Bombyx mori: one gene and its partner. The main gene of each other region encodes a partner of the protein of the gene in region 2 in a complex. Links are inferred from orthologs where the notes say so. Each region holds a gene or a part of one and is shown on either strand. Other genes may lie near its edges. The genes, in order: multifunctional methyltransferase subunit TRM112-like protein and tRNA (guanine(10)-N2)-methyltransferase homolog.

Region 1 (16,876 bases), on a different chromosome or scaffold from region 2:
ATAAAATTGAAAATCGATCATTAAAACTAATGCATCTTTGAGGTATTCGAAGTGTGAATGTAATTGTTATTGTCTCATATAAGTTTTTGTGTGTAATTTCAAAGGTTTGATTGAACTTTATAGTTTTAAAAGTAATATTATGAACCCGAATGTGTGTTTTTTGGTCTCCTGCCCCCCATCTGACAGAATGACGAGACAACTGCCACTTTCTCTGCCGAAAAACGTGACGTATGCTTAAACTGTACTAATGTTATAAATTCGAAACTGAGTTTATTTGTTACGCTTTAACGTCTTAATTTATAAACTGATCGTCATAAGGCTTAGCGTACATGCACCTTTTCAGAAATACAGAAAGAGACCGTCACTCAGAAAAATACTATTTATTATTTTTTATTTATTTATTTAATTTATTTTGTACACACAGCTGTTAGAAGAAACACGACAATAAGGATACAGAGTACAAGACCACTACTTATTTCATGTTGAAATCTCTTCCAGTAGGTTTTTTTGGTTACTTTTGTTTGTGTGTAATGAATATTTCCTGTATTTTGCAGCACTCGGCAACGGTCCCGTAACAAAGTGGGGGGCCGATAACTCTCCTCTAGCAAAGGCCATCGGCAACATCGGCCCATTCGCAGCGGCCGGATTCAACGTTAGCTACAGCGACAATGGACTATTCGGCGTTGTTCTATCTGTACCTAAAGACGAAGCTAAAGTCGTAAGTGTCAATTTTCTTGTGTTGCTGGGACATGCAGACGTGTTCTTGGCCAAAAACATTGCCATTTGAAACATTAAGTAAAAATGTTTTCTTACAATGGTTGTCTTGTCCTTAAGAATATTACATACGCTTTCGCGTCGCAATTACATAATTTTCATCATGAATTAAAAGGTTTACCTGTATAAAGAATTTTGATAATGAGACGCATAGGCAACAATTTAGGCTTGTTATTGTCCTATGTGTCTCATGACTATGAGTGAAAAATGAAAATCATTTAAATATTGCACCAAAACATGTTCAACAAATTCTCATTGTTCATTTAACATAATTGTAATTGTTCATGTGCATTTTTTGGAGATTACTCTAATTTAGAAATAATAAATCAATTATTCCATTTGAATACAATAAAATTTGAATAAGATAAAACACGTAAATCTATAATTTAAATTGTTATTCTGCTTTATTAATCTTATAAAATTTATTAGAGCAAGTTTTTATTTAGTATGTCAATGATACAATTTTTGCACGTTGCACATATTGGTTTAGCGACGACGATATAAATATTAAAATGGTAGTCACTATTAAAAATACTTTTTATTAAATGTTTCAGGCCGTAAAAGCTGTAGCTAAGGTCTTAAAAACCTCACTGAGTGCGGACGCTATCAAAGCGGGCAAAAATCAGTTGAAGACACAAGTGTTAAATGAAGCCGACACAGGATCGTCGCTTGCCGAATCATTAGCAGCGCAAGGCTTATACACCGGCTCTGTTCGCTCTGCTGTTGACATCGCCAAGGATATCGACCAGATATCCAATAATGACATCTCGCAGGTGATTTAGATAAACAATAAAATATATATATATTTTTTTAATATTCAAGAAAATTATAAACATTAATTAAATACGACTTAATGCTGGACATAATCTTCTGTTGATTGAGCACAAATTCTTGCCAAGATCCAGTTAATGGTTTGTTCAAATTGCTGACCAAGACGTCAGTGCATTCGTATCAAGCGATGCAACTGTGCCGGTGTCCGAATCCCGCAGGCAGGTACCAACTTTCCTTATGAAATATTATGTACTTAACAAATGTTCACGATTTACTTGCACTGTGAAGGGATAACAATGTGTAATAAAAATCAAACCTGCAATCTTATAATTTGCGTAATTGCTGGTGGTAGGACGTTTTGTGAGTCCGCACCTACCTGGCACCTATTTCTGCAGTAATGCGTTTCGGTTGGAAGGGTGGGGCAGCAGCTATATTGTAAAAACTGAGATCTTAAAACTCATATCTTAAGGTGGCAGCATTTACTTTATCTATGAGTTCTGGTAGCCACTTAATACCAGGTGGTCCGTGAGCTCGCCCACCCATCTAAACAATAATTAATATAAATTTTATATAATTAATAAAATAATAAATGTCTAATCCCATATTTTCATGGATATCACTCAGAAGACTTACCAAGGCTGCTCCAAATATACAAGTATTCTATGAAGTGGCTGCATATGTTTTGTCATTTAAAATTATGAGTATTCAATATTGTGCCCAAAGATCAAAATTCAACAAAAATGAATCTCGCCTGAAGATTTAGATTAATTTTATGTACTTATCAAATTCTCTTTTTTTGTGGCCGACTATTTGTTCAACAAAATGGTTTTTTTCTTCTTTTTTTTTAAATCATAATACTAGCAGGTTTGGTAGGCAGCGGCTCTGCCCCTGGTATTGTTGACGTCCATGAGCGACGGTGACCACTTACCATCAGGTGGGCCGTATGCTCGTTTGCCTACAAAGGCAATAAAGAAGAAAAAAGCTAAAGCTCGTCAATAGCTACTAAATAATTAATTTAGAGAATCCATTGACTGAGGAGAAATTGAAATTGTTTCACCTTAGCCATTTTATCTACATACAGAACTAAACTTGGGTGGGTACACACATATGTTATACACTATACTTTTATTTTCCAGGCTGTCTCGAATGCGGCAAAGAACAAGATTTCAATTGGCGCTGTTGGAAACTTAGCATTTGTTCCCTATATAGATGAATTGTAAACTCGGTATTAAATCTTAATTTATTCCTTAATCTGTTACCTACCTTAATAAATCAACAAATTAGAAACAATATGGATTGTAATTTATTGTTTTAATAAATCATTTGTTAATTATAAAAATTATTTTGGAGATGCTTCATGAGTACCAGATGTCTGAAGTAATGTATAAGGAGGCAAGTTTTTAGTATCTTTGAAAGAATCTCTGAAGCCACTGGATTGGTTAAAAAATTGTTTCAAAACAACTAAATAATTATTTACCTACTTACTCGGCCGATCTCTCAAGACCATCAACTTACGTAGGAAAAAAAGGTTTTTCGGGACAAAAGAGAGTTTAAGACACTTTCTAGACTAGGACTGTTTAAACTGCATACCTTTGTAGGCGAATTAAGTTTACTACAAAAGCTGGAGGGCCGCAGAAAATTTTATTTTCAAAAATATTTTCCAGTTATTCCCCAACAATAGTAAAATATAGCTTCACTTTTAAATGATGCCTTGGGAATAAATGGAAAGAATGGAAGAATAAAAAAGATAAATAATACCTAATTTTAATACTGATTATATGTTTTGACAAAGAATAATATTAACCAAGCTATTTTTTACTAAAACTATTTTCTGATTAGAGCATGCGTCGCGGGCCTCATCGTAGTAAATAGTATCTCAAATATTAAGTGCATAATCTATGATAATGTACCCAATAATCTGTTCAGTGTATTTGGTGATTTCGTGTGATAATTACAACAGTTTACCGGCACATCAAATGGCAAAAAGGAAGGAAACAGATTTCTTTTGAACAGACCAGATCAAGATCCAAATTTAGAACAAGACCAGAAATAAGTAAGCTGGATGTACCAAATCTACGCCAAAACACGAAGATCGTTCGTTAAAATATTATCGAACCCAAATCGACGTTTGCCTGGGCTCCATTATGATCCGTCGATTTTTGGGTGGGGGTGGGGGTAGGGAGGGGATAAGGGTTTACCCCCTGCATCATCCCCACCCCGCGGAACCCCATGGTTATGAAGATTTTCACGGTTAATGTTTTGAGTTTAGATTACCACTATTTAGTCAACATAGGGTTAGAATTCCAATTATGGTCTATCAATTTTGAGTCGAGGAGGGAGGGGTATAAGGGCTTATCCCCTGCACCATCACCAGCCCACATCCCCATGGTGATAAAGATATCCATTGTTAATTGTTTAGATTAAAATAGCATTATTTACTTAAACTCGAAGGGAGCTAAGAAACCGCCTTATCTCCGACGCTGCGGGAAGAGCAGCCCTTCCGCCCTTGCGTGCCGAAGCACGGTCACTCACACTCCGCTCGCAGCTTCGGCTTGATGGACCAGCCTCAGCCGCTCCCCCTCGCGCTGTTCCCATGTTCCGTCACAGCGGCCGAGGAGTGCTCTCCCTCCGCGCCTCCGGTTTTTTATATACACTAGGGGTAGGGCAGACAAGACCAGGTGGAAAGTGGGATGCTCTGATTCGGTTTTGGATATTTTTCGGATATCGAAAATTTTATTACTAAAACACGAGCAATTTTATTATTGTTATATTTAATCTTATTTAAAAATATATTTTAATACAGACAGTTATAAAGACGCTATAACAAAATGCGTTAGCTCACGTTCCGTTTCATAGTGTAAACATTATTTCGTTACATTTTGTGTACAAAAGTCAATATAGTTGCTTAATACAGCAACAATTACTGTGCACATTAATTAGAACAAAATGTGATTAAATTAAAATATATTTCTGTAATAAAATACATGTTTACCGTGAATGAAACTCGAAACGTCAACTTTGACGTGTACCTTGCTTAAACCTAGGCATAGATTATACACATAAAGGTTTCCTACTTCAGTGGTACCTTGACGATTTTTCAAATTTGTACTTAGGGAAACTTTAAAAAATTATATTTCGTAAACCGTGAGTTTCCGCAACTTGAAAATTTGCAAAAAGCTTTCTATTTATGATTGCTATCTACAAAAAAATTGTGAACTTCCAAATCGACGGACCATAAAGGAAAGCTTAGCCCCCGATAAGACAATGACCCCAAACATTCAAAAAAATTATCTCTGATGTTCTTAGAGCTAAAACGAAATAAAGAAATTTTGTATCAAAAATAAAAAATCATTCTCAGTACATTGTGGAAATATTTACAAAGTGAATAGAAGTTACTCTGACTCCGAATACTTTGTTAAATTAATCCAAAGAACGAGGCAAATAATAGGGGCAATTTCATACTTTAGCTCCTAATATTTAATGAAAAGTATTTTATTTTATTATTTATTTTCACTATATATATTTTACTGCTTGATTTCATTCAGATTTAATTGTAATAAATAATGGCTTGTGTGTTTTAATGACGTTTATATTTAAATTACCCTAGTATTTCCAAACTTTTGAGTGGTAGTGTATATAATGCAAACGCACTGTAATTATACTCAGAGTTTAGAGTAACAGCTTTCTTTTCATGTACTAATTTTAGTTATATTTTGTAGATTATAGCAGTCATGTGATTGGCTTCAAATCTATAATTCTTATCATTTATAATTTAATTTAAAAGCCATTACAGCCATAAAAGATGTAATTATACTATTACAGGTCGAAGTCTCAATTACTTACAATAGTGTCCTAGCTTTTAAACTAGTATGAAGTTATCAGTATTAACGTCCTTGAGGATACAACTAAGAAGTACCATCTTGTTTAAGGTACAAGTTGAAAAAGTGTCCGCCTGTATACAGCAGGTTATTGTTTGAAGCTCACTAAAATAGTATTAGTACAGGTAGTGGTAATTGAATTAATATAGCAGCTTTAAATAGAGTAAAGTGTGCAGTAAAGGCTATATTCCAATATACACTGCGAGGACTGTTCAGTCCTCTTACTGGGGCGAAATTCGTTCCGTTGACTGACAGTATACAATCACCGTATCATAGGGAAATATATAATGTCAGAAATTGTCACCATTTTTCTACTGTGAACACTGGTATTTTCTAAGTAAGGTGCCCTCAGTGCTTTGTACATGTTATCACGTTTACAGTACATAACCTCATTTCAATAATTCAGTTAAGTTATTATATAAATTGAAAAACAATATTTTCTTTATTGAAAGGATACTTTTAGTATACAACATATGCGTAAGAAAGTTTTCCCCAAATATTTATCAAGAATCCTGAAGCAGCCTCATACTGATTTTACCTATTAAGCAACTTAAAATTTAGTATACAAGGATTACATAAAAATCTTTCACAGTAAATTATATTGTAGAAATTATAAAGTAATGGTACATTTCTTAAAATATTTAATATGAAACAAATTTACATGCACCATAGCACTTCTTTACATAAAAAATAAAACAATCCTATGTAATGTTACTGCAATAAAATTAATGCTTAAATAAAAAATTTGTTACTAATATTTTTAGTACAGGCTCTAAATTGTGAACTACTGCACTTCAGCTTCATTTAATAGCATATTAGGAATTCCTTTAGAAATCGGAAATTGTCTTCCAGATTCTGGACAAGTCAAGTGTCCCTCTTCAACTTCCACCTCTAACAAGACTTTATGAGCTTTCTTCAAAAACTCTTCGTTTTCATCATACTTATTTTCTAAAGATCTTGGCAGACCATCACTGTGGCCGATGCTATCAGCGGCCACCCATAATACTTCCCAATCCAGCTTTGGTATTACACGACTAATAAATTCAGGATTAAAATCGACTTCTTTAACTTTAATGTCTGTCGCGTTAATTGCAAGAGGATAGCCAGTCACAACACCTTTCAAGCATTTCGAAGTGAGCATATTGTGGGTAATTAGTTTCATTATTATATTTGTATTATGCAACTTCAGTAGGAATTGAAGTCTTGACAATAATAGCTTTTCACGAGTAGAACCAAGCGATTAAGATTATTGGCACTTTTTTGTAGAATTTTCTTAAAACATATTTGTTATTATGTACTTTACGTGCATAATTAGATATTTGAGGTTATGTTTAGTTTTTGTTCAGTTGTGTAGTGAGTAGTGACCTGACAGCAGTAAGTAGTGGTAGTTTTATTTTTCCAAATGGAAAGGCAAAGGTATCACACCATACAGCCTAGTCTGTTATAGATTTTTTTTTTTTTATGAAATATATTATGAAATGAAATGAAGCTGATTAATTTAATGGCATGGCATGAAATGAATTGAAATGAGATGAGATGATAATTATGATATGGGTATTTTTATGAAAAATGATGATATGGAGTGAAATGAAGAATTTGAGACATTAATCAACTGGGATGAAATCAAATGAAATGAGATGAGATGAAATATAATCTCAGTAAAATGTTGGTCGTTTACTGAGATTTTTTCAATGGACGTTTTGGATGATCCCGATAAGTTACGTCCAGCGGCTTTATTTTATTTTCCCACATTTGTGCACTTTCAAAGATACTAAACAGTTAATAAACCACCGTTATTATGCATTTCAATCTGAAGAAACACTAAATAGACAAAATAAAACAAATCACACAACTTCACTCCTCGCGTTCCCGCGAAAAAGTTGTAACTTGTTCACCTTTTCAGTCGTAGCTCGAGGTGATACTCGCGCAGAGTATAATAAGAAAGTAATAAAATAAATAATGGATTAATAGTAATTTGCCCGAGTCTCTTCAATGTAATCTATTAGTCTATTATTGTTACTACTTTTCGAAAACTGGTACAAAATTTTTGCGCCTCGAGGCGATAAGCCAGGTTCACCGAACGTGTAGGCTCAGCATGGAGAACTTACTAGCACTAGCTTTAGTTAGAGCGGTGCTTCTCTGAATCTACCACTGGACCAGAATCGAGATTCTCTGAAAAGAACTGGCGAGAAACTCAGTGGGCTCTGTCTGACGGTCAATTTACTAGCTTGACCTTTCTTTGCATTCGGAAGGGATAAGCATTTATATTAAATTGTTGAAAAAAAATATATTTACATTTTTTAAATTAGAATGGATATAAGGTCTTGTAGCCGTTGGCCGTACATAAATATTTAAAAATATTAAATTGAGTATAATTCTGTGTAAAATTATTGTAAATATTGAGGAGAAATGTAATCATTCACATTTATAGACAAAAGCAGCAGGCTTGTAATACTCCATACCTGCTTATAAGTATTTTACAGTTTTTATTTTTTTGCGCCATGTCAAGCCATAACTCATTAAGAATGGATGCAGCATGCAGTGAACCAACAACATCGGTGGTCTCCACGTCGTCAGTACCACAAAAAACATCAAGTGACAAAGCAATAAATGAAAACAAAGTCGATTCACCTAAACGAACACCCAAAAAATCAAAAAAAAAACAAAGATCAGAAGTTACAGTACCTACCATGGTATTCAACAATTCATCAATTAACGATGTTTCCAATAAGTGCCAGAATTTGCAAATTGAAAGCGACAGTGATAACGGGGAGACAGAACAGGTAACCCCAACTACCCCGTCGAAAGGAAAAAACGCCAAGAAAAAGGAACGACTAAAAAAGTTGGAAATACCTACGGTACCAGTGAATAACTTTAACAACACAAACAGAGTACAAAATTCACAGTATTTATTTAACTATTTTGGGTCTCCTAGAAATAGTACATTCTCTGTGCATGAATATTTTACCCAACAGATTACACCATTGTATGCAAGTACCAGCTCTAGGTATTTAGAAAATCTGTGTCACCATCCACAATATCAATATATGCAGAATATCCAACACATGAGAGATATTTTACAAAGCCCAGAGCATGTTGCTAGTGTACCTATCACTCCATTAATATTATCAGGACAGAGATCAGAACCTGTTTGTATTCCAAATTCTACATTTATTCATTCTGAACCTAGCACTCCAAGGTTCATAGAGAATGCATTGCAACACCCCTTATTGAATCCATCATTTTCAAGACAAACTGGTACAATACAAATTGGACAGCTCAGACTGAGGCATAATTCAGAAAACAATTGCTTAACTAAAACTCTTGTAAATGGTGACAAGAAATTTGATGCATACCTTTCTGGAGAAGATGTTGAGAAAGGTTTAAAGAACAATATGCTTATTGAAGGTGTTCTGAGGATAAATCCAAAACAATATCAACATTCATATGTTTCAAGTCAAGACCGGAGTCAACAAGATATATTAATAGACGGTATTAAGAATAGAAATCGTGCAATGGAAGGAGATGTAGTAATAGTACAATTAGTTGAAAATGAACCTGAAGAAAACGTTACTAATCCTGAACAAAAAAGAGGGAAAGTAGTTTTTATCAAGGAAAAAGTTCATACTAGAACTTGTATTGGTTCACTCAAACTAATGCATGACAAAAATAGACAAAAAGCTATGTTCGTGCCTCGAGATCACAGAGTACCAAGAATAAATATACCATTTACTTCATGGCCAGATAATTTTTATGAAGATGCCAAGAAATATGAAAACACATTGTTTGTTGCAAAAATAATAGATTGGTCTGATACAAGGTTTGCTGTAGGAAAAATTATGGGTAATATTGGTAAATCAGGAGACATGGTCACTGAAACAAAAGCAATATTAGCAGAAAATGATTTAGATGTTACTGCTTTTGGCTCTGAATACAAGGATTTGTATCCTCAACTTGACTTTACAATTCCCGATGAAGAAATAGCAAAGAGAGAAGACTGTCGGATGTTATGTATCTTTAGTATTGATCCATTTAATTGCCGTGATATTGATGATGCAGTCTCTTGCAAGGAACTAGAAAATGGTAATTATGAGATCGGAGTCCATATTTCTGATGTTACATATTTTTTAAATGAAAACACTCCGCTTGATGTGAAAGTTGCAGAAAAAGCTACAACAATATATTTGGTAGAAACTGCTTACCACATGCTTCCAGATGATTTGTGTATGCTTTGTTCTCTATTCCCTGGTGTAGATAAACTAGCTTTCTCTGTTTTTTGGGAAATGACCAAGGATGCTAAAGTTATTAGTTACAGGTTTGCTAGGACTGTTATAAATTCATGCTGTCAGTTGGCATATGAACATGCTCAAGATGTTCTTGATGACAAAGAGGATGCTCAAATAAAATTTCCAGAAATGTACAATGGTTTTGATTACAAAGATGTGCACAAATCAATAAAAATTTTAGGCAAATTGTCAAATATTCTTCGTGCAAATAGATTTGAGAATGGTGCATTGAGAATTGATCAACCTAAGGCTAGTTTTAGATTAAATCCTACTAGTGGTTTACCAGAGTCATACTGCATATATGAGAGTAAAGAAAGCCATCAACTCATTGAGGAATTCATGTTGCTCGCTAACATGTCTGTAGCTACACGTATTTATAGTGACCACCCAAAACTGGCATTTTTAAGGAGTCATCCACCACCAAGTAAATATATGTTGATGCAGCTAGAAAAGTCTCTAAAACCAATGGGCATAAAATTAGATATCGAATCGGCTGGACATCTACACAGATCTTTACTACCATATGTGGGACCAGACAATACAGACAAAGGAAGAGCCATGGTTTTAAATTTGCTATGTGCAAAACCTATGACAAGAGCAAAATATTTTTGTGCTGCTGCTTGTGATGATGATGAATTTCAACATTATGCTCTGAATGTGCCCCTGTACACTCATTTCACAAGTCCTATTAGGAGATATGCTGACATTATGGTTCATAGGTAAGCTGACTGTAATCTTTAAGCACACATTAAGTGCGCAACTACACTGTTTGTCAATAAATGGCTGCTGCAGTAAGTGCTAGTCACTTACTTTTGACAGATCTAAAACGTGAACCGAGCTTTGACATACTTAATATGGTAAACAAACCGCTTTAAGACATTGTTATGCCATGATATACTTTTGGTTTTTGAAAATGTGTTCTATTTGCACTACTGATACATTTGAGATAACTTTAACTTTGTTGTTTTCAGGCTATTAGCAGCAAGCTTAAATTATAGAGAAACTCCAGCATGGCAGGAAGATGATGTACGCATGATAGCTGCTCAATGTAACAAACAGAAGTACAATGCTAAAAAGGCTGGTGAAATGTCAACAGAATTGTACACTTTAAAGTACATTGAACTTAATTCTCCCATAGTCACTGAAGGTGCTGTGGTTGACATTAGGGAGAAATATATTGATGTTATCATTGTTTCCATGGGCCTGAACCGGAGAATATTTTTCAATAATGTAAGATTTTTATATAATATCATTTAATTTTCTTAAGCATAAAATGAGTATATGCAAAATTCAAAGAGAAACAATATACACATCTACTATAGATATCTACACCTATATACTATATCTATATACTATACCATCTACCCATCTTTAAACTATAGTGTCTATACCCTCTGTGTCACAAAATTATATAGGTACTGAGCATATACCTTGAATTTTATAACTGATAAATTATGTACAGTGCACATATTTCTCCTTTCATTTTGAATACCCAATGACATTATTAATGATTTAATAATGATTTAAAATCTAGAATTATATCAGAAATTATCAAATGTCTTTATTACTTTTCCTGATTTCATTAGTCATTTTATCGATAATTGAAATATAAATGCATGTGTGCATGCACTTACTTGCATCTATTATGCTAAATCTACCTAATTAAATTAAGGTTTTATCTAATTAAACCTCCCATATTATTTAGTCCTATTTACTGTTTATTTATTTATTAATTTTTTTCATTTCTAAAATGAATTAGTTTTAATTTTCACTCAGTGTACTTCACAAGTATATAACCCCAACGTTTTGAAAAAATTGATTATTACTTAAGCATCTTATTCACTAATTGAATTATTTTTTAATTAAAAAATAACTTATGACTTCTCAAAGGAGATTATCCTTTTTTGTTTAACTCCTGATGGTCTTCTTCTGATACCTTAATTTAAACAAATAACATACCTAAAAATATGAGGTTGCCCTATTTTTCTATTTTGCTTTTAAAAGGACAGAATTTGAAAGTATTAGTGGCCGTGAACATTTTCAATGCAGTTTTAAGGAAAACATCTTTAGCACCGTTGTGATTTGAAATTCAGTTACATGAATAAAAGGAAAATAACAGCGACAGTCATTGTCTGTGCCACAGCGACAAAGAGTTATTTAGTACTTCTGCATGTGTACTGCATCTACCCATGTCTTTTTCCTACTCATAGTGATAATATTTCTTTAATTTATCGGAATTTTTTTCGTAGGATTTTCCTGGAGAGTATAAGTGTATTAGACACGAAGAACTTGCGAAGTTGGCTCGAATGGAACTGAAATGGAAACCGGTGAATGAATTGCCAGAAACTAAACAAGTAATTGGAGTTTTTTCCATTGTACAAGTTGAAATGCACAAAGGCGATGACATGGTAAAAATCGAAACTAAATTAGTGCGACCCCAATAGTTTACATTATATTATTTTACTGGTTTTTTTATGACGACGACAACCAGACGAGGGTCTTCAAAATTTCCATTCGAAACCTGAATTTTTTGTAATGTTACAATTTGTAACAGTAATTCTATTTCTAGAAATTAAGAGAGTTTAATCCGAAATCTTAATTTATTTTTATAAATGAAGTGATTTTAATGAAATTTAGTGTTAAATGAAATCGTTCCTTTCGAAAGCTCTTTACTCTAGAATTTATTGGTGACTGCAGTTTTTATAAAATATTTAATGTTTTTAAAAAGATTATATGAATGACTAAGTTGTTTGTAATTTAATATATTTGAAAATTGTGTATAAAATTTTATTCCTGATTAGACCAAGAAGATGGATCTTCTAATCATTTTAGCATTAATTGAATACTGTGTTTCTTATTTTGTAGTCTGTGTGTAGACATATTGTATGTAATTATAATATTCTGACAATGTTGTATTAGGATTACTATTTACAATTCATAGAACTGTCTTAAAAACCTAAAGCAAACAAGTCTTTAGGCGTTAAGATAAATGCATAATAATAATAATAATGAAATGTTTCAAATAAAACATACATAGATAATTGCATAATAAAAAATTGAATTCATTATATTCAAGAATAATTGAACTGTGAATTTATGTGCTTTACAGTTTTGAGAAAGCGAATTTTTATTGTTTATTGTAAGCCTCATGTCAGGCTCAAAAAATAAGGGAGCGCTCAATTCGTCTATATTTTTGTTAGTATTAATGGACTATCTCAATAGCCCACAGCAAACTGAAGTTGTAAATGTGTGTCCTATCACTCGGATCTTGATAAAAGCCTACGAAATTCTCTTTAAAAGTCGAAAATTACAGATCTAACTTCCAATTCAATTTTTAAATTGCATAATCAGGATATACGGCCCGCATACGTCTTACATAATCAAAAGTAAATAAAGTCACTCATCTTGAACTCAGGAGTGGAGTGCTTGCTAGCAACTGACTCAACCGCTCGAGGGCACCTGCTTTGTGAATGCAATTATGAATGGATCATTGGGACTTGCTGAGAAGTTCCGACGAGGAACTAACTCGGCGGGTTGATGTTATGGGCTAGATTTCACATCGAACTCTGACATTCGACGAGCAATTACCTATACTCTGGGTGGTGCTATCGCAAGTAGTAGTAGCAGAGTGCATCACAAGGATCTGAGGGTACAATATGCGGCACATTGCATGTTTGCTGAACGTGAACGTTATATATAGTAAGTCACTAAAGCTAATACAAAATACTTCAACGGTCCTTAAAATCAATTGAAATAGAAAAAATCTTGTATTTTTTTCAAATAGGTTGGTATTTGCTGGTACTTTTTTCCCTACTTAATCGTTGGTAGCCAAAAGAGCTATTCCAGTTTCGCGCGGTAGGTGAACTCACGGGCTCAACCCGAGAGAATTTGGTAACACCAGTCCTAGCGAGAGCAGTTCTTCGCAGAACCTACCAACGGATCGGAATAGGGATCCCTTGAGAAGATGTGGTGAGAAACTCAGTGGGCTAATCTTGTAATATTTAGTCCCTTATAAATTCTATTCGTACTATTTATGAAATAAATTTCCTGCTTCTTTGTGCCGCTATGCATATTTTATAATAATATTATCTGTTGTAATAAGTCTAATAGAATATTGAAAATAGAACGGGATATATACGAACAACACAGGAAGAATTGTTATTTCAGCAGTGCAAGTGAATTCGAATAAACGTCTTACAGTGAACTGCGCCGTTCATACCTATTGTTCATGTATGAGCTACGCTAGCTCCTCAATATGAAGTGGGCGCTGCGTGTATCCAACTTAAGATAAAAACGAATTCATCCCTGAAAAATGAAGCCTAAAATTACCTGATTTTCCCGTATTCCGTAACTCGCTTATACATTGCTTGTGAATATCTACAGTAGTTATTCAGATCAGACAGATATTCACAAGTTACGATTGTTGAATGTCTACTTTAAAGTACAGAATGTTATTTCTTTTAAAATAAATTGTAACGAACTGTTCTGTGCCGATGTCGTACTGTGTACCTAATCGCAAAATAAGCTGTAACTCAATTTTTTTCATATTTATGACAATGCTATAAAAATATAAGTCGAGGGGTAAAAGCTAGGTTTAAAGCGACATTTTAGCAACTTTACAGGAGAGCCATTTACAGTTTTCAATTTTTTTTTATTGAAGTTATACTTCTTTAGGCGCGTTATGAAAAATTGATGAGTGAAATTTTACGATGCGCGCGCACCGTGACACAAAATTAACAGAAATCGCTCATTACAATACGACCGACGTAACTTGGCGAGTCTGAATATAGCTGCAGGTGAACATTCGCGCATGTACACTCGTAAAAAAAGTGTTATTAGCATTCATTTTTTAACGTTAAATATTTATTAATAATTATTTAATATTAAAAAAAAAGAAATAAATTTAATAAAAATAAGTCTTACGCGCGTACATAAGTACACGCACCCTTTTTAAATATCAACAAAAAAACTTCTTCAGCCATTTGAATGGAGTAAACTTAATGGAAGTTCCGTTTCAAACATCGAACTGTTGACGCTAATACCAAATAAAACGCACTTTTAATTTCAAAGATAAATGTCGCATTTTTTTTTATTATTGCTTAGATGGGTGGAAAAGCTCACAGCCCACCTGGTGTTAAGTGGTTACTGGAGCCCATAGACATCTACGACGTAAATGCGCCACCCACCTTGAGATTTAAGTTCTAAGTTCTCGAGTATAGTTATAGCGGCTGCCCTACCCTTCAAACCGAAACGCATTACTGCTTCACGGCAGAAATAGGCAGGGCGGTGGTACCTACCCGCGCGACTCACTATAGGTCCTATCACCAGTCAAAAAAGGGCATAAATCAAATAGTCTTTCACCCCTCGAAGTGTGCTTGCTTACTGGTTCAGTTTCCGTCAATTTAGTAAATGCTGTTGAAATAACGAAATTAGTTTACGTAATGTAATTCCGTGTTTTGTAGTGAATAAAGAAAAATTTAGGCTCCTAATAGTTTTTTTTTTAAAGACCCACAACGCCGTCCTCACAAAAATATGTAGATATTGGTTTTCGATTGGACTTCTTGGTGGAATCATACCGAGTGAAGTTTTTTGAATTGCGTTATTAAATAGTGTTTCTTCGGTTTAATCTGCAATGATGATTGTTTATGTTCCGTTTAGCATCGGTGAAATTGCACAAATGTGTGAAAAGGAAGTGAAATCCTTGATCATCCAACTGCGCCACTTTGAGAAGACGCGTACGGCACGACACGAAAACCCTGTTGTCGTTGCTGCCGGAAATTACAACGTTACGGATCCTCCCGATCCATTAACGGTGCTTTTAGGTACCTCAAGCACGGGTCACCGTCCTCGCCGAAACCGTCGGCTGCGACGAAGGGCTCGGCGAGTAAATTAACCCATAGACACAGCCCACTGAGTTTCTCAATGGGTCGCGTTTCTAATTCGGTGGTAGATTCTGCGAAGCACCGCTCTTGCTAGGGCTAGTGTTAGCAACACCTCTGTTTGAGCCCCGAGAGCTCACTTACACGCTAGGGTAGTGCTGATATTATAGTCTCTCAAGGTTATCAGAATAGAAAAAAAAAGTGCATCCAAATGCTTGCCAGTGAAATAGCTTCTGCGTTCGTTCAAAAACTCTATTATAGTCTTCGTAGATCCATTTAAAACGTTATTGTTGTATGTTTGGCAATTAATTCTAAATTAAAATGAACTTTATTTTTAAAATATGGATTCCATTTTTAAATTCAGACTTTTTATTGTTTCTTGTTTTGTTTTGATACATTTGCATCTTTCTCATCAATGGACATGACATGATAAAAATAAGATTTAAGAAAAAAAAATGGACTCCATGGTGCCTTTCCACCATACTTTCGCCTTTTCGGTATTGAAATAATCCATCCCGACAGGAGCCCTCTTCTTCGATATAGCGAAGGCGTTCGACAAAGTCTGGCACAACGGTTTGATATACAAACTGTATAACATGGGGGTGCCAGACAGACTCGTGCTCATCATACGAGACTACTTGTCGAACAGTTCGTTCCGATATTGAGTCGAGGGAACGTGTTCCCGCCCTCGTCACGTCACAGCCGGAGTCCCGCAAGGCTCCGCCCTCTCCCCGTTACTATTCAGTTTGTATATCAATGATATACCCCGGTCTCCGGAGACCCATCTGGCGCTCTTCGCCGATGACACCGCCATCTACTACTCGTGTAGGAAGAAGGCGTTGCTTCATCGACGACTTCAGACCGCAGCCACCACCATGGGACCGTGGTTCCGGAAGTGGCGCATCGACATCAACCCCACGAAAAGCACAGCGGTGCTCTTCAAAAGGGGTCGCCCTCCGAACACCACGCTGAGCATCCCTCTCCCGACTAGGCGCGTCGACACCTCCGCCACCGCCATTCGCCCAATCACGATGTTCGACCAGCCCATACCGTGGGCCCCGAAGGTCAAATATTTAGGCGTCACCCTCGACAGTAGGATGACATTCCGCCTTCACATTAAGACGGTACGCGACCGTGCCGCCTTCATTCTAGGACGTCTCTACCCGATTATATGCGAAGTAAAATATCCCTTAGAAATAAGGTGACACTCTACAAAACTTGCATACGCCCCGTCATGACATATGCAAGTGTAGTGTTCGCTCACGTGGCCCGCACTCACCTAAAATCA
Region 2 (16,338 bases):
GAAAGGAGGACTCACTGATGTATCCAGCTCTGGTGACCATACGATGGATGAACAAATAATTTTATCATCATCCTCATAAATAAAAAAATATCTGAGGCGCAGCTCTTAACGCCATACATACGATTTGCAATTACCTTGTTTCCTAATGTACTTCAATTAAATTGAGATATTCAAGATAGGGAAGGTCTACCTTTAAAAAAAAATGTTTTCTTACTCTCCTCTCAATCTAATTCCTTCAATGCGTACAATTCTCAATTTTATTGAATGTAAATATTTAATTTAAAATGCAATTTAATTGTTCTTAAATGACTTTGTGGACATTTGTAACAGAATTCCTTACTTTACACTGTAAGGTGTGCAGATCGTATTTTGATTGTTCTTTTTTTGTGGAAAGGAAGGATAACAGGAAATCGGTTATGGGAGAAGCTTACTAACCAGTGCCTGAATGCACTCGTAGGAGACTTATGAGCTCAAAAGCAACTATTTCGTGTTCTACATCGATATCACTGTGTTAAGTATCTCGTCGAACTCTGCGCTGGATCGACAAGTACGGTGACCTGTATTTTATTTGCTGCTAACGTTAGTACTACTAACGTCCTACAGCAGCACTAGGAGTGGACAAGAAGGATCCACGATGACGTATGTTTAAATGGCCTCGGCGGTGATCGGCTACTGCGTGAGCCGAGTCTGAGCGTAGTTGTCGACAGCCGTGATTAGTTAACATGTCGCACCATCACCCAACGACGCTTTCGTAATATACTTACGGATAGATTCGGATATGTACTGATTGACGTAAAAATCCATATTCCTCATGTTCCACATTGTTTCGACGGCTATTCGAAGAGCGGAGTCTTGAAAATTATTTTATTTTGTTGATTTTGTTTAAATTTCTGTAGCACTCTCACTAGGTAGCCACATTTTACATAGAATTTTAAAATTCCAATATCTCTCCTCATTAAATTCCATTTCATTTCATTTCTTTCCCCTTTTATTTTGAATGCAAAGGCTTCGCCCTTTGTTTCAAAAAATTTAGCAATATGAGTCATGTTTCTTTTGCCTGTCTATAGAAAAAAAAAAAAAAATTATGTGCTTTTGCCAGTTTTGCCATAAATGTTCGAAAAAGTTAATTTATGAATTTTAAGATAGTGTTGTATGTCACATAAAATTATTTAGATTTTTGTTGTTGTTAAGTGTTTGTAATTGCTTCAGTCCGTGATATATTATTCCAAGTTTTGGGGGTAAATTAAATTAAAAACAGTAAACAAAATGTCTTTTAATTACGAAGAAATAAGCCACAATGGTAAGCTGTTTAACAGTAATATGATGAATAACTGTGGGCTAGTTATCATATCATGGTTCAGTCTATGACCAAAATTAAATATCTTAATTGAAGTAAATATAGTTCCGGATTTTATAATTAGACTAATAATTATACTTAGGATATAACCTCCCTAATAGAATGTGTGGATTCGCACAAAAACACTATAAAAAGTATACTCTGACCCTTACAATCGAAATGTATGAATTCTTTGCAGTATACATAGTAAGATTGTACTTATATGGGCTGAAAATACCTCAATTACTACCAGTATCGGGTATTGTACTTCTGTTTGTTCATTTTAGAAAGATTACTGTATTAGAACAGTGAATCCAAAAAATGATCTTTGATATAGCTATCATATTAGCAGGTAAACTAAAGAAAAAAAATTTGCTGTCTTAGATGCAGAGTAAATTGACTGAAATGAATATCAAGAATTTTATTCAAACTGCATGACATTTAATTTTGAATACTATAGCAAACACATCCCTATTGTTATCGCTCATGAGCCTCTGAGGAGGATGCATGCAAATGGGGCGGGAGTAGATGCTGGCAAAAGGCCTCAATGCAATTCCATGGCCACCAGTCTTTATTAGTCAATGGAGGAAACGTGTTTAATTGTGTTTTAGATTAGCTAGCCATCTTGTAGTTAATATCGACGGGTGAAAAGCTATTTGGTTTAAGTGACATTTCGCTTAATATGCGACATTTGTCTTTATAATTAAAATACCGTTTTTTTGGTATTATTATCAACAATCGGATGTTTTTAATTGAAATTCAATTAAGCTTAACAAAGTCAAATACATAGTTGAAAAAGTTTTTTGTTACGATATCTTTTCCATATTTTAAACTAAAATGGCTCCGATGTAAATTTGAAAAAATGTCGCTTAAACCAAATTGCCTTTCACCCCTCGATATTAGGTCATTGTTCACACATCAATAAACTACACATTTTACTGTGAGAGTTTTAATTTGTTATAATACAAAATATGAACATAAGTATTAAAAACAGTAGTTTTATATTTTTAAACAATTTATTTGTAAACATCAAGTGTGCTTGCATGTTAGAAGAATCAGCTTAATGTAACTGAATCTACTACTGTACTAATAGCAACTGGCAAAACAAACTCAGCTGTCTGAATTGTTTAAGTCACATTACGTTAACAATGAGACAGTTTTCATTGAGGTCATCATAGATAACAGACCAAGTTGATAATCAGTATTTAGATCTCAGAAATCACAACTTTGAAATATTGTTTTGTAGAAGCAAAGGATCTTCTCCGTCAATGGAGGGAAAACAATGAGAGGAGAGGCAAAGAAGTGCTAGAACTTTGGGATGTGGTTCTCAGAGAAGATGTAAACAAACTTGGAAACGAGAGTTGGTATAGATCTTTTTATGTATTGAATCGCTTAAATTTGCAAATGTACAAGCAGCTCAAATACTTGAGGATAAGTAAATGAAATATAACCGAGAATACATCTATTCACCAGCCAACACACATTGTGGTTTTAGATATTTTTTTTCTACCTTTTCTAGTAACTTCTACTATTCTAGTAGACAATTAATTAGGTTGTAAAAGCACAACAACACAATGCTAGTTTATAACTTTTAAATAACTTATAACCCTGATGTGTGTGTGTTTTGAATTTTGGATTATTGGTCAAACCTGTTCTCAATGGAGTTCAATGCTGATGTTGATAGATCTAGCAACCTGTATGATAATATGGTTTTGTAAAAAGTGCTTCAAAGGTTGTCCTTATGAAGTTTTTTTTATTGCTTAGCTGTATTGCGGCCCATCTTCTCTTAAGAGAGTACTGTATGCTGCTCACCTTTATACATGAGTTTTATAGTATAATGGCTGCACCACCTTTAAAATTCATTACTGTTTCAGTATAAACTAGTTATGCTATCTCATCCTCATCAGAACTGTAGCAACCGTGAGAACTTTGAATGTACCAATCACAGATATGACATAGAAAGACCAAATTCATTAAAATATAATAAAATTTACAGTTGTGGATAGTTTGATTTTATAATAATATCTCATGACTGTGTTTATGTAATGTCTGTAGTGTATAATTATATGCAACACCATCTATATATGTAGCATTTGTTACAGAACACGTTATATTGGAGCAAGTAATCTATGCAGCATTGGACTGTCACATGTACTGCATAGCAATGTTGTGCCTTGTGATGCTATCCAATGAGTTTCCTGGTAGCCTAAGAGTTATGAAATTAAAAGCAGCTGTTTTAGAGGCAGAGGAGAAGTAAGTTATTGTTTGTAGACTATTTTGTTTTGGCTCTAAGATATTCATTACCTTAAGCAATTATTTGTTATTAATAATAGATGATTACTATTAAGCAGTCATGTGCTCCAGTTTTATGGGTCACACATCTTGTCTCAAAGTGAATGACGGTATTCATGTTGTGATGTCTATGGTCTCTAGTATCTAAATGAAAGCAGGTTGGTTGTAAGCTGATCTGCAACATTTGATTTCGTTTCCAGGTACATTTACATTGTACATTTTAAATTAAAAACAGCTTTTCATGCTCATAATATTTTATAGGTTCGATGAAGCTTTAGAATTACTGGACAACATAATCAAAGTAGATGAAACTAATTCAGCAGCACGGAAGCGCCGGATCGCGATTCTGAAAGCTCAAGGTTACATAGTCGAAGCGATCAAGGAACTTGTGGACTATTTGAAAAAGTATGTTTGTTATACTCGTATAATTTTTGAAAGCACCTGTCCTCATTCATATCAAGTTTCACAAAAAATTATTGTGGAATAAAGAAATTTACTCTGTATTATTTAGGTTTATGTCAGATGTGGAAGCCTGGCAAGAGCTTTGCAACCTGTACCTTCAGGTTCAGGACTACTCTCGTGCCGTGTTCTGCGCCGAAGAACTACTCCTCCATCAGCCTCACAGCCACTTGCATCATCAGAGGCTAGCTGATATTCGGTACACAATGGTATGTTAACATAACTACTACAATTAATTAATTTATTGATTAATTATGTAATTGATAATTGGAAGTTTAAGTTCAACAAAAATTATGAAATGGGCTTCAAGTCCATTTTTAGAGCTCTACATTTTACAAACAATTTCACTATAACTAAATTACATATATGAACTACACATATACTTTGTTGTATTTTTCGTAAGCCTTAAATATATCAAAGCTAAACATCTTTCTAAGCTTTTCTTTTCAAAATTTCTCGAACCACACACATACCGGTGTCATTCATGGATCTGTCATGCGTTTCAGTTTGAATTATGGGAGAGAGTTGTACAATACCATTAAGATCTTAGTCTAAAGGTGGTCGGTGGTATTCAAATTGACCTATAGGCTTAAGTATTCACTTAACACCTGGACTGTAAAAAGGGAAACAATTCTCTCATACATTACTTTAGCGATACTTTAATCGTTTCCGCAGCGCACGCAGTGGAAGCTCTCAAAAGGGATTAAAACCCCGATTTTGAAACATTCTTTATTGGTGCTCCGCTTGCATTGGTCTTAGCGTGATGTTATAGCGTGTAGCCTATAGCCTTCCTCGATAAATGGGCTATATAACACTGAAAGATTTTTTCAAATCGGACTAGTAGTTCCTGAGATTAGCGCGTTCAAACACACAAACTCTTCAGTCATATAATATTAGTATAGATATTATATTTAAAACTGTATATTGTCTATTATTGTCCTTAGGGCGGCATCGAAAATCTGGAGTTGGCAAAACTGTATTACTGTCAATCTGTGAAACTCAATCCAGATAATATGAGGTCGCTGCTGGGTCTGTACTTGGTAAGTACATGTGACACAAGCGTTAATCTCATAAAACGAGAACGAAGTGCAAGTGAATTAAAGTAGATATAGAAAAGTGTTTCTCAATCTCAGTGGTGTAAGGTTGAATATCCATGATTACATTTTCTAATTACACCTGTTGTACGTTAATGTTGCCGTGACCAGACCCCGGTGTTGCCAACAACGAATAGAAACTTACAACTTATTCGAAGCTAACACATAGACACGAACAAAGAAAGAAAAAATATTGTTAGAAAATACGATCTGAATGATTCCATAGTTCAGAGGAATGAATAAATAGAACAACTTATACTCCCAATTCGACTCTTGTAAACCCACTAAGTTTCTTCTTGGTGGGTCGCCATTCCGACCCGGTGATAGATTCAGCACTGCTCTTTCTATAGTAAAGGTTAGCAAAATCTCTCAGGCTAAGCCCTGTGAGCCTTTACACACCCAGTGAAGCCAGAATAGCCCTTTGAGGCTATTAGTAGTAGTAAGTAGTAGTAGTAAACAAATTGTGCAATTTGGTTATCAGAATTCAAATATAATAATGTTTTAAAAGGCTATGTATTCTGTAGTGGTCATCCCCACACCTTACAGGCCAGAACAACATAGCAATTACGCAGCAAAAGAAACAGTTGGGTGGTTACCCGAGCAAATTCTCAATACGTCAACATAAACATGTAAAAGAATAGTAACTTTGTTAAAAAAATTACCTTTGTGCCTATTTAACAGACAACAACAAATCTACTGAACCACTACAAATCATCAGGGAACAGTGGCAAGCGCAAGGAAGTGTGGAAACTGTGCCACTGGGCTCAGTCCAAAGCAACCAAACAAACTCAGCCGACAAGTCAACTGTCCCAGATGATGCTATCGTTGGCCATAACTGAATAAATTAATTGGTATTTTTCATTATGTTATGTCTTTTGGGACTCAGCATCGAGGTTTTTGGGAGTCACATTATGTATGTTGATAAGTGTATTTCGGATTAATATCAATTAGAAATCTATTTATAGTAGCATTGCTTAGAGGAATTGCGGATACCAGGAAATTGCAATGATACCTGGTAACTGTTTACCGCCGGATTAGCTCTTTCAATCAATATATACAATATCAAAAATATATTTAAAAAAACACAAGGACAATGTACTACGATACATGGAGAAACAGGGCAACATGTTTTATATGAACTTAACACACTCCGCATTTCCTCTTGAGCTAATTTCTAGAAAATATTTGATACATTAAACATTTCAATAGATATTTGCGATTGTATCTAGTTTAATAATATTATCATTGGGTTAAAAACAAATAAATTTGGTTTGTTTCAAATGGTACAATTAACTATTTACTCTGCACTACCTTTGATTGACTGGTAGAGAATGCCTTAGGCATTAAGTCCGCCAATGTAAATTTTACATGAAGTGTAATAAATAAATAAATTAATAAATATATATATAGTCTTGGATGGTTACTTGCATAATTGTGATGTGTGTATAGTTTGGTTTAAAGTAATGTAGATCAATAAAATCTGGTGGAAATACGAGACCAGGTAGCTTTAGTTTTAATAAATATAACCAAGAAATCTGACTATGAACACCGGCGAACTTCGATATCTATTGACCTCCTGATAAGCAAATTACTTCACAGTATTCGTGTGAGATGCTAAGGTACGCGCCTAAGGTGTTATTCGTCAACATGTATTTGAATATTCCTCTAATAACCGTCTAATTTGATATGAAATAATTATTAATATTCATCGATATAAATTATTAGCTTGGCTCTTGCAATCTGTGTTGCCAGTCTCAAGTTTCTGTTTCACTTCTTATATTTAATTTAAAGCATTTTAAAATGTTTAAATTACGTTCTATAATTTAAAGACCTAATTTAAAATATTATGTAAGTATTTAAATAATAAAGTTGTTAAATTATAAAGAGGTTTCTCTTATTATATTATATAATAACCAAAGAAACTAACCCTGCCAGAGGTGTCCTGTGACAAGTTGCGGGTTCGAGGTTGTATACACATAGAACATATCTTATTAATTATATTATCCGTTTTCTGTAACTATTGCTGAGATTTAAACGAACTATATTACTTTAAAATATTAATATGACTAAACTACACAATCCATAGCGACATTTGACCTAAACTCTACACAAAACAACTAAATAAAAACAAAGTGTACTTATTTTAAAATGATATATTACAGTTTACATTTAAATTGCGCTATGTGACTTCATTACCGAGTCTCGCTTTCACCGCCGCGTACGTGGCTATCTCCTCCGCTCTCCTCTCCTTACGTTCGCGTCTTGTTTCTTCTCCGATTGCAAAGTATTTGTCTCTAAAATACAAATGAATGTTAGTCATCGCATTTTACTGGTGATGGGACCTCTTGTGAGTCCGCGCGGGTAGGTACCACCGCCCTGCCTATTTCTGCCGTGAAGCAGTAATGCGTTTCGGTCTGAAGGGCGGGGCAGCCGTTGTAACTATACCTGAGACCTTAGAACTTATATCTCAAGGTGGTCGGCGCATTTACGTTGTAAATGTCTATGGGCTTCAGTAACCACTTAACACCAGGTGGGCTGTGAGCTCGTCCACCCATCTAAGCAATAAAAAAAAACTAACTTCGGTAACAGTCTGCGAAGTGCGAGTTATTTAACGTTCTCCCGTTCTCATTTAACTATTTAAAGTTATATCGAATTTGTATGCAGTTGGAACAGCGCCCCTAACGGCAAGCGTTCCAATTCCATACAAATTTGAGTTAACTTTTACGCTATCCAGAACGTTAAAAAACTCGCACTAAACACCCTGGTGGGACCGCACGGTTCTGGGACCACTGTGATGTCTACGACTTCCAAAAAAATACCCAATTATGAAAATTTCATATTTGGATTATGATAAAATTTCGGATATTTTTACATGGACGAAACAGTGAGACCTTTGGGGTATTGCACTGACGTTACACAGTAGAAATCGAGACTTATTTCAAGGCTTTCATGTTGTAATGTCAATGTATGTGTATGTGGTTATTGGAACCACTTAACAACAGTAATGTTGACATAACGTCTCACATAAAGCAATAAAAATAATAGCAGTACAAACTGTATTTATTGTTACAGAATAAAAACAAAACTTTTATTTGGGACTAGTGTGTAAAACATCGTAATTTTTAATGTTTTTTTTTTTTATGTAACCCATTCTCTATACACAAATACTTTTCACTTCACTTTTATAATAGACAAGCGGCCTGCTCCGGTTCCGCTCGGGTCTTTAACAAAAATTTCAACGATATATGACGTTTAATTTTTAAAAATAAAAGAACACTTATTGCGGCATAACCATAATAGTTAGACATATGCTGTCGCGTCACTTTTTGTAAATAATAATGTGTTCTACAAAGTCGTAGTACATTATTTTATTCTATCATCAATAGTTTTCGCAGGGCACGCGATGTAAAGAATATTTTAGGTAATTTTTTTACACCTTGGATTACATTATTGGAGTTTTAGTGAGGATACCTAATTTTTTTCAAAAATATTATATCCTACTCGGGAATAGTATAGCTTCCAAACAGTGAAAGAATTTTTCAAATCGGTTCAGTAGTTTCGGAGCCTATTCGATACAAACAAACAAACAAATCTTTCCTCTTTATAGTATTAAGTATAGATGGATAGAAGTTACCTAAAATTGGGAACTCCACTGCTGGGATCAACAGTTACGCTGGATACGTCATCACATATCTTCTCATACGTCAGCAGGCGTCGCGCTGTCAACTTGGTTAAGATCTGTTCCGAGTTTGCGATCAACTTGAGGCACGGATGAGAAGGCAGCTGCTCATCTTGATAGTCGGCCCTTGATCATACAATTCAAAAACAATATTATTAATAATTAACAAGTTTGAAATCATTGTTACCAATATAAAATTCGATCGATCCAATTATGTTCTTATGTCATTTTTGTAAACAAAATTTTATATCGAGGGTTGAAAGGCTATTTAGTTTAAGAGACATTTATCTTTGTAATTAAAGGTGCGTTTTATTAGGAATCAGCATCGGCAGTTCGATGTTTTTAATTGAACTTCAATTAAGTTTACCCCATTCAAATAGCTGAAGAAGTTTTTGTTATGATATTTTTTCCAAATTTTAATCTTCAAATGGCTCTTCTGTAAAGTTGCAAAAATGTCGTGGAATTAAATAAAAATAACAATTTTGTTTTCCCTTTGATGTGTCCCCCGTCGGACAGATTCCTTTTGTTTGTTTTAAGTTTATTTTATAATATATAATAATATTATAAAGAGGAAAGATTTGTTTGTTTGTTTGTTTCGAATAGGCTCCGAAACTACTGGACCGATTTGAAAAATTATTTTTCCATTAGAAGCCGACATTGTCCCTAATGAACATAGGCTACTTTTTAAAAAAAATAAAAATTTTTTTTTTTTTTTTTTTTTTTTTTGTTTCATGTGTGTTTTAATGTTTCCGAAGCGAAGCGAGGGCGGGTCGCTAGGATTTTATAAAAAAGTTTAGATCTTTTATCGATTGAGGCACTACGAAGTTGCCGGGTCAGCTAGTATGTATATATTTTTGTTTTAGCACTATACGAAAGTAATGCAACATTTATTTTTATTGATTCGAACGGGTGAAATAAACTACAAAAATCAGAAGTACCTTCATTCAGAACGTACCTTCCACGTTCTACGAGGTCATTGAACCTACGCGCCTATTTTAATTTGCATATTCGTAAAGGTTCCTAATCCTCACCTAATAACAGGAAACCAACAGACCAGTCTCCCGTTCATCTCCAAATGTCTTGCGGCAAAATTCAACAGGTCACTGTAGATATGAGGAAGGCCGTATTCCACTTTCGAAGGTATGTGATTTGTGAGGTGCTCCTCAGATAGAGTGTAATTGTTTCGCTCTATACCAATCTTCTCTGTTGGTTCGCGAACGCCGTACGGTGCTGAAATTTTAGGTCGTGATGTAATTTAATAAAAAAAAAAAAAAACTCCTTTCAGGTATTGCAACCATCATGCATTTCTGAACTAAGAAACGATGTAGCCCTACTTAATTATTTGTTACTAAATAAGTATAGTTAACTAAGAGTTAACTTATTGAAACGAATCTGAGATTTCGATCTGTTTCAATCAATTCATGCATACATATAATTAAAGACATTAGTGGATATGATACAATTTGTTAATTTTGAGTAAATGAGCAACAAACTTTTGTACTTGTACTTGTTCTTCATACGTAAATCCTTCATCACATGCAATTTCTAAAAAGAGCCTTTAAACCCGGAGATTTAAGTCTCAATCCCGGAGTCTAATATGGTTTATAGGCACTTATCACCTTGATTCACTCATGTCTTCAATTATACTGAATCGATACAACACTAAACAAATATAAAATTTAATACTTTTTGTTTTTAGAAATATGTTGTATAATGTAAGTGTATGTAACGCGAAATTAGCGTGAGTCTCCTGTGAGAGGTCATTGACCCCGCGCACCAGCTGATTTATTATTTGTTACTTTAGTACGCACATAGTGCATTAAAAGATTACAAATATCAAATGTATCACTCCCTATCTTTTACACTGCCCGAAAAATGACCGTAATATTCTCAGGATTTATGTATCTCAGTTTCTTTATTTCATTTTTGGGGTTTTCTTAGCTTCCTTACATCATCCAGAGTGACAGCAACTTTTTATTTTTGGCAGGGACTGTTGTGGTTTTTTCATTTAACATTTAAATTGTTATCGTTTCAGGAAACAACTTTACTAGTTCATTTTAATTTCAATAAAATCTGTGTTAGACGCCTCCTACTAATAAAATTCAACAATTTTTTGTTTACTACAATGGATTGGTATATATTGTTGTATCAAAAAACGTATCCCAAAAAAGTGATAGAGTAAGCAAATTGCAAGAAAGTTATTTGTTATTGAAGAAAACCAATGATTCACTAGATTCTAAATGGTTATGATCACTCATCAACATCGGCATTTATCCCATGCGTTTCTAGCCCTCAGTAGGTCTTTACAAATCTTGCGGTAGCATATCACCATAGTGTAATTTTTAGTTTTAATATTGGGAAATAGCTTAAGTTTTACGAACTCACGATCGGTAATCATAGCGTCGAATTTAACTCCATCCCTCCAGAGCGGCAACGAAAAATCACTGACCAGTATATCAATGTATTTAGACTCCGTGCCATATTGCTTCAAGTTATTCTTAATACTCTCCTCTTTTGATCGTACCTGTTGCAATTGTGAGAGAATGTATCAGTTTATTTATTATTAGTAATTATATTTCATTTTTAGGTATGCTTTTTTTTAAATGTTAATAATATTACTTGATTGTTTCTTAGTTCAGTTGCCTATATGTAATGTTAATTATTTCAGAGTAAAATAATAACACGGAGATAATGTAACAATAAGAGTTCTGTTAGTGTTTGCAGATTAAAGAATAATAATCATGTTTAAGCAGTCATATATTTCAGTGTGTGGGGTGGGCCAGACACAATAACAATTATGTAACAAACATTAGCAATTGCATACGAGTATATAATCATTTTATATTAAAGGGATTGTATACTCTCACCATTTAGTGCAGTAAAAAATGCTGTGAAATAAAATTAAAGCATAACGTAACGAAGATCTTATGTAGTCAAGACTTAGATCTCATACAGACTCAATGTTATGTATGGTATTTCATCTGTTCCAATAAATAATAATAAATCTATTTATTACGTTTACATTCCAACACCACATATATTTAATACATACATTGTTACCTTTTGACCGACTCGTGTTGGTCTCGTTCTACCATGTAGCATCATGTAGTCAATATCTGAACCCCATACGTATGCTACAAACAAGCCAATAGTTATTACATTAGTTACAGAAGAAACAAATACACAGAGACATATGAAGTCATTGTAGCCTAAAGGATAAGAGGGCCAGTGCATTTGTATTGAGCGATGCGAATGTGCCAGTGTTCGAATTCGTACGTAGCTAGTTTTGTAATAAAACATGTACTAGACAATGTTCACAAATGATTTCCACGGCGAAGGAATAACAACATATAATAAATCAAACCCACAAAAAATATAATTTGCATAATTACTGGTGGTAGTGTTTTGAGAGGCCGTACGGGTGGGTACCACCACCCTCCCTGTTTCTCTGAGCAGTAATGCGTTTCGGTTTAAAACATTATATTTTTAAAAAGGGAGAATTAGAACTCATATCTCAAGATGAGCGGTGGGATTGACATAGTTGATGTTTACGGCCTCTGGTGACCACTTCACACCAGGTGGTCCATGAGTTTGTCCACTCAAAAAATATTCAAAAAACCCTCTTGAGTGTGGTACTTTAAATAATCTAGTTTCTTTTATGCTCTATCACGTAAGTACCAAAGAGGCAGGGTGTCCTCTGACTTGTTCGAGAAATGACCAAAGGTAGCTAGAAATTCGATGAGATGGACAGATTTTCACTATAAGAGTGTCTTGGTAGGAGTGACAGTGGTGAAGTACAAGTAAATGATAATTAAGGCGACTTTAAATAATAATTAGTTCAGTTTAAAATTTCTACAATAGCATAGAAGATACAAAAGTTATACAAACAAATACCTCCAAAATGTGCAGCTGCAATCAACAATGAACCAGAGCCCACAAAAGGATCAATCACAATATGACCGGGAGCAATTTGGGCTTGGTTAGCCATCACAATAGCTAGTTGCGCATCCATGCTTGTATTCCCAATGAACTTGCGTTTTTTTAATGAATGAAACCGAATTAAATCCCTTTGACCTTCAGATATCTACAAATTTAAATATTATATTTTAAATTAACTTTGAATTTAGTAAACACGGTGCTTAGGAATGAATGTAAGAAGAAAATTAGAAAAAAAATGTTTTAGACAACAAATCTTATAAATACTAGACTAAGTGGTGCAATAAATTTAGAGCAGAATTTTACACCTTTATTATAACCTAATCATGAAACCTTTAAAGATTTTTATATAAGAAAACATAATTATTTTACCCATTTTCCAAAGAACAAGTCATAAGGTTGTTCAGGTACATTATTAGGATTAACTCCATAAAACTCCAGGTATGATAATGTAATATCTGGATTCTTTAATTTGACTGATCCTTTCAGTGGTAAGTATGTAAATTCCTGTAATTTATATTTATTAATATCTTAATACTGCGCTGTGATTGAATAGTTTCCTACCAAAACTTATGTAAACTAGTATTTTCCTTTTCTTTATAATTTAATGTATTCAAAATAGTTTAGATTTCCTTTGAAAGAATAATAATAAATAATTTGATTTCATAAGTAATCATTCAAAAGTTTATTTTATAGTTTTACCATGGGAGGTTTTGTAAATATTTTTTAAAGAAATTAATGAGATACCATATTTAGCAAATTATTCATTTATTACAGACCTCAATTTTATCCAGTTTTTCCTGGATTGAAAAATGTTTGCAGAATGTTTCGACTTCTATTTTAAATGAACTGTTAGGTGAACAGCACACATCAATCAATTCTTTAGGGCAGATATGTTCAGCACATTCCACATTTTCGAAAATCCATTTAGAGGTGGTATTTTGAAGTGATTTGCGTAAATTAATATGTAATTGGTCAATACTTTTAGCTCTTGACCACAATTCTATACAATTTTTCATCAAAACAGACCGAGAGGCGATCTTTTTCGCACAATCCTCTGAAGGGAGCTCTACAATCCAATACGGCTTCTCCAAACACGGTTTCTCAATGAATTTGATGGGTATTTTGAATAAGGACAAAATACTATTGATTTCCTGAAACATTTAGTAAATGTTTTTAGTAATAATGCAATTTAATTCTGATAACACTAAAAGATAAGCACATACAGCATGTCTGAAATCAACGTGTTCGTGAGCGAACCATAATAAATATCGCCGCCACATTTTAACTTCAAGTACACATTAGTTCCATGAGTTTTTTGTATTTCTATTAACTGTAATTATCTTTTAATTTATCATTAATCTAAGAATGTCACGTGCTGCTGTTTTTATTTTGGTTAGATTTTTTTTCATGTACTAAGGCAGCGCTGCTTGTATCTCGACCTTTAAGCCTAAGTAATTAAAATTTCGGAATGGTAACAATTAATATTGTCATGTTATACATTTCCGACTATCTAAGAACACATTTTGCATAGTAAGCTCTTCAGAATGAAAAAGGTCTTTCTTTGGGTAGTAAAAAATAAATGTGTTTTAAATGAAAACAATTCTAGCTCAAAACGTCGAATATTCTTAAGGAATTTTGGGGACATACATACGCGTCGGTAATTTTTAATATGGAAATGCGGAAAAATAACAACTACATCGCTGACTTAATTATTTAATTCTAATTTAATATTTATTATTTACACATCACAAGTACATATATTAAAACTAAAATTATGTCTTCTCATTTTTATCGGAGCTATTTTCTTCAACTAGTTCCTGATGCCTGCTCTTCAAAAAATCTTGGTATGTATACTTTAGGCCATCAGAACAAGTAACATAGTGTCCGCCAGAGTGTTCTGATACCGTCGGTTTTATGAATATGTTGATTAGAGATTCACTCATTTCTAAAACAAAATAATTTCTTTTAGTTTCTCAACTTAGTTCTTGGGGGGTTCAGCAGGTACCAATATCCAGTCCATTTCCGCCATGAATCATACATTCCAGTTTGAGTGGTGAGGCAGCTGTTATGCATAACAATTAAGACTTGTCAAATAGTCAATTGCAGGAAACCAATTGCCATAGCGAAAAAAAAAATAAGAAAAAAGCTGCCGAGGTAATTTTCTCAGTAACCACTTAAAAGACTACCTATATTTTTCCCAATATTATAATTGGAACAATGAATAATTGCTTCATTGTATAGATCAGAATTACATGAATCAGTTATCTATAAATTTAAGTGTCTCGTGAATATTAGAGGACATACAAATTTTTTCAAACTTTCCCATGTGGGTACCAGATTTTCATTTATTAATTAATGTATAATATGTACCTTTTGGTATAATGGAGTCACTTTCGCCATAAACATGTAATGAAGGCAATGCAATATCCTCATCATAAAAACCTTTATGTACTAAACTCTCTGATCTGAATCCTGACAGAAATATTGCAAAATCGAAGGCATACTTTAAATCTGAAAAAAAAAACATTACATCTTTTAAACTTTCTTTGCATCAATGTATGCAAAATAACTAAGTCGTAAGATAATCTGAATACATGATATTACGAAAAAGATTAGGAACTTTTTACTTATGATTATTGTGCTAGCTTTCTTAACTAATTGCAAAAAGTCAGCATTAGGAGATGTATGATAAGTATTATTATATTCTCGGAATCCAATCTGAACCCTTAAGTCCAATTCTTTTGATTGTTGAATTGGATTTAAGGGTTCAGATTATGTTGTTGTTTGTGTGTGCCACAAATGCTTTTCCACATTTTCTATTTTAAGTAAGGTGGAAAAGTCGTTATACAAAAAAATTGTAACTTTGATATAATATCTCTAGCTGGATAACAGCATCCATACTGTGATGTCTTATGGCTGTGATAGCCACTGAAGACTTAAATCATTCAACCAGCCAGGTCAACAAAGATAAAGGTTAGTTTTGCTCTTTATGCACGCTTTATTTGGCAGGCATTCATGTTGATTTTATTATACATAGCAACCTGGCGATGATCCTGGAATTGTTGATATCCATGAGTGACGACAACCACTCCCCAATAAGTGGGTTGTATGTTCTGCCTACAAATAAAAAGAGTATCTAAAAGGAAAGAGAAGCTGAGGAAGATTGCTAACCAGGTGGACGGACATTGTCAAGGAGGTCACAAACACCAGCATCCTGGGTGCCATTAAGCAGGTCGAATGCAGGCAACATTGGAGGAAGCTGGTGCACAAACTAGACCAAGGTGGTCACGACCCTCAGTAATGCGGAAGCGACGAAAAAGAAGAAAAACATCAATTTTTAACTTACATCCTTTTTGTTGCATGGCCGCCAATAAGCCCACCAAACATGCTCCCTGTGAGAAACCCATAAATCCATGGAAAGGTCCATGCTCCTCCACCACCAACTCAATTAATCTCAAAGTTTCTTCAAAACCCACAGCCGGACCTCCTAAACACTTGCCGCTGAATGTGTTATCTTCTGAATTGAACCACCATGAGCG

What was found.
Region 1: tRNA (guanine(10)-N2)-methyltransferase homolog (region 2) and multifunctional methyltransferase subunit TRM112-like protein share a complex: the UniProt entries of both Homo sapiens proteins name them as parts of the heterodimeric TRMT11-TRM112 methyltransferase complex. The link is inferred for Bombyx mori from reciprocal best matches to the Homo sapiens genes TRMT11 and TRMT112.

The regions. Positions count from the first base shown.
Region 1 is NC_085117.1:12,724,109-12,740,984, forward strand, and holds multifunctional methyltransferase subunit TRM112-like protein, read right to left. Parts: upstream 6,772-16,876; 5' UTR 6,586-6,771; coding exon 6,208-6,585; 3' UTR 5,843-6,207; downstream 1-5,842. Other genes in the region: Uqcrc2 (ubiquinol-cytochrome c reductase core protein II), read left to right, coding at 555-718, 1,329-1,547, 2,682-2,765; DIS3-like exonuclease 2, read left to right, coding at 7,925-10,428, 10,681-10,939, 11,959-12,153. UniProt on the Homo sapiens protein: Acts as an activator of both rRNA/tRNA and protein methyltransferases. Together with methyltransferase BUD23, methylates the N(7) position of a guanine in 18S rRNA.
Region 2 is NC_085112.1:2,174,884-2,191,221, forward strand, and holds tRNA (guanine(10)-N2)-methyltransferase homolog, read right to left. Parts: upstream 14,252-16,338; 5' UTR 14,080-14,251; coding exon 14,023-14,079; intron 13,951-14,022; coding exon 13,576-13,950; intron 13,304-13,575; coding exon 13,169-13,303; intron 12,945-13,168; coding exon 12,755-12,944; intron 11,995-12,754; coding exon 11,921-11,994; intron 11,385-11,920; coding exon 11,246-11,384; intron 10,091-11,245; coding exon 9,892-10,090; intron 8,987-9,891; coding exon 8,816-8,986; intron 7,476-8,815; coding exon 7,361-7,475; 3' UTR 7,320-7,360; downstream 1-7,319. Other genes in the region: ER membrane protein complex subunit 2, read left to right, coding at 1,267-1,300, 2,583-2,696, 3,439-3,589, 3,890-4,033, 4,140-4,296, 5,032-5,127, 5,863-6,024; esterase AGAP003155, read right to left, coding at 14,572-14,744, 15,170-15,310, 16,146-16,338. UniProt on the Homo sapiens protein: Catalytic subunit of the TRMT11-TRM112 methyltransferase complex, that specifically mediates the S-adenosyl-L-methionine-dependent N(2)-methylation of guanosine nucleotide at position 10 (m2G10) in tRNAs.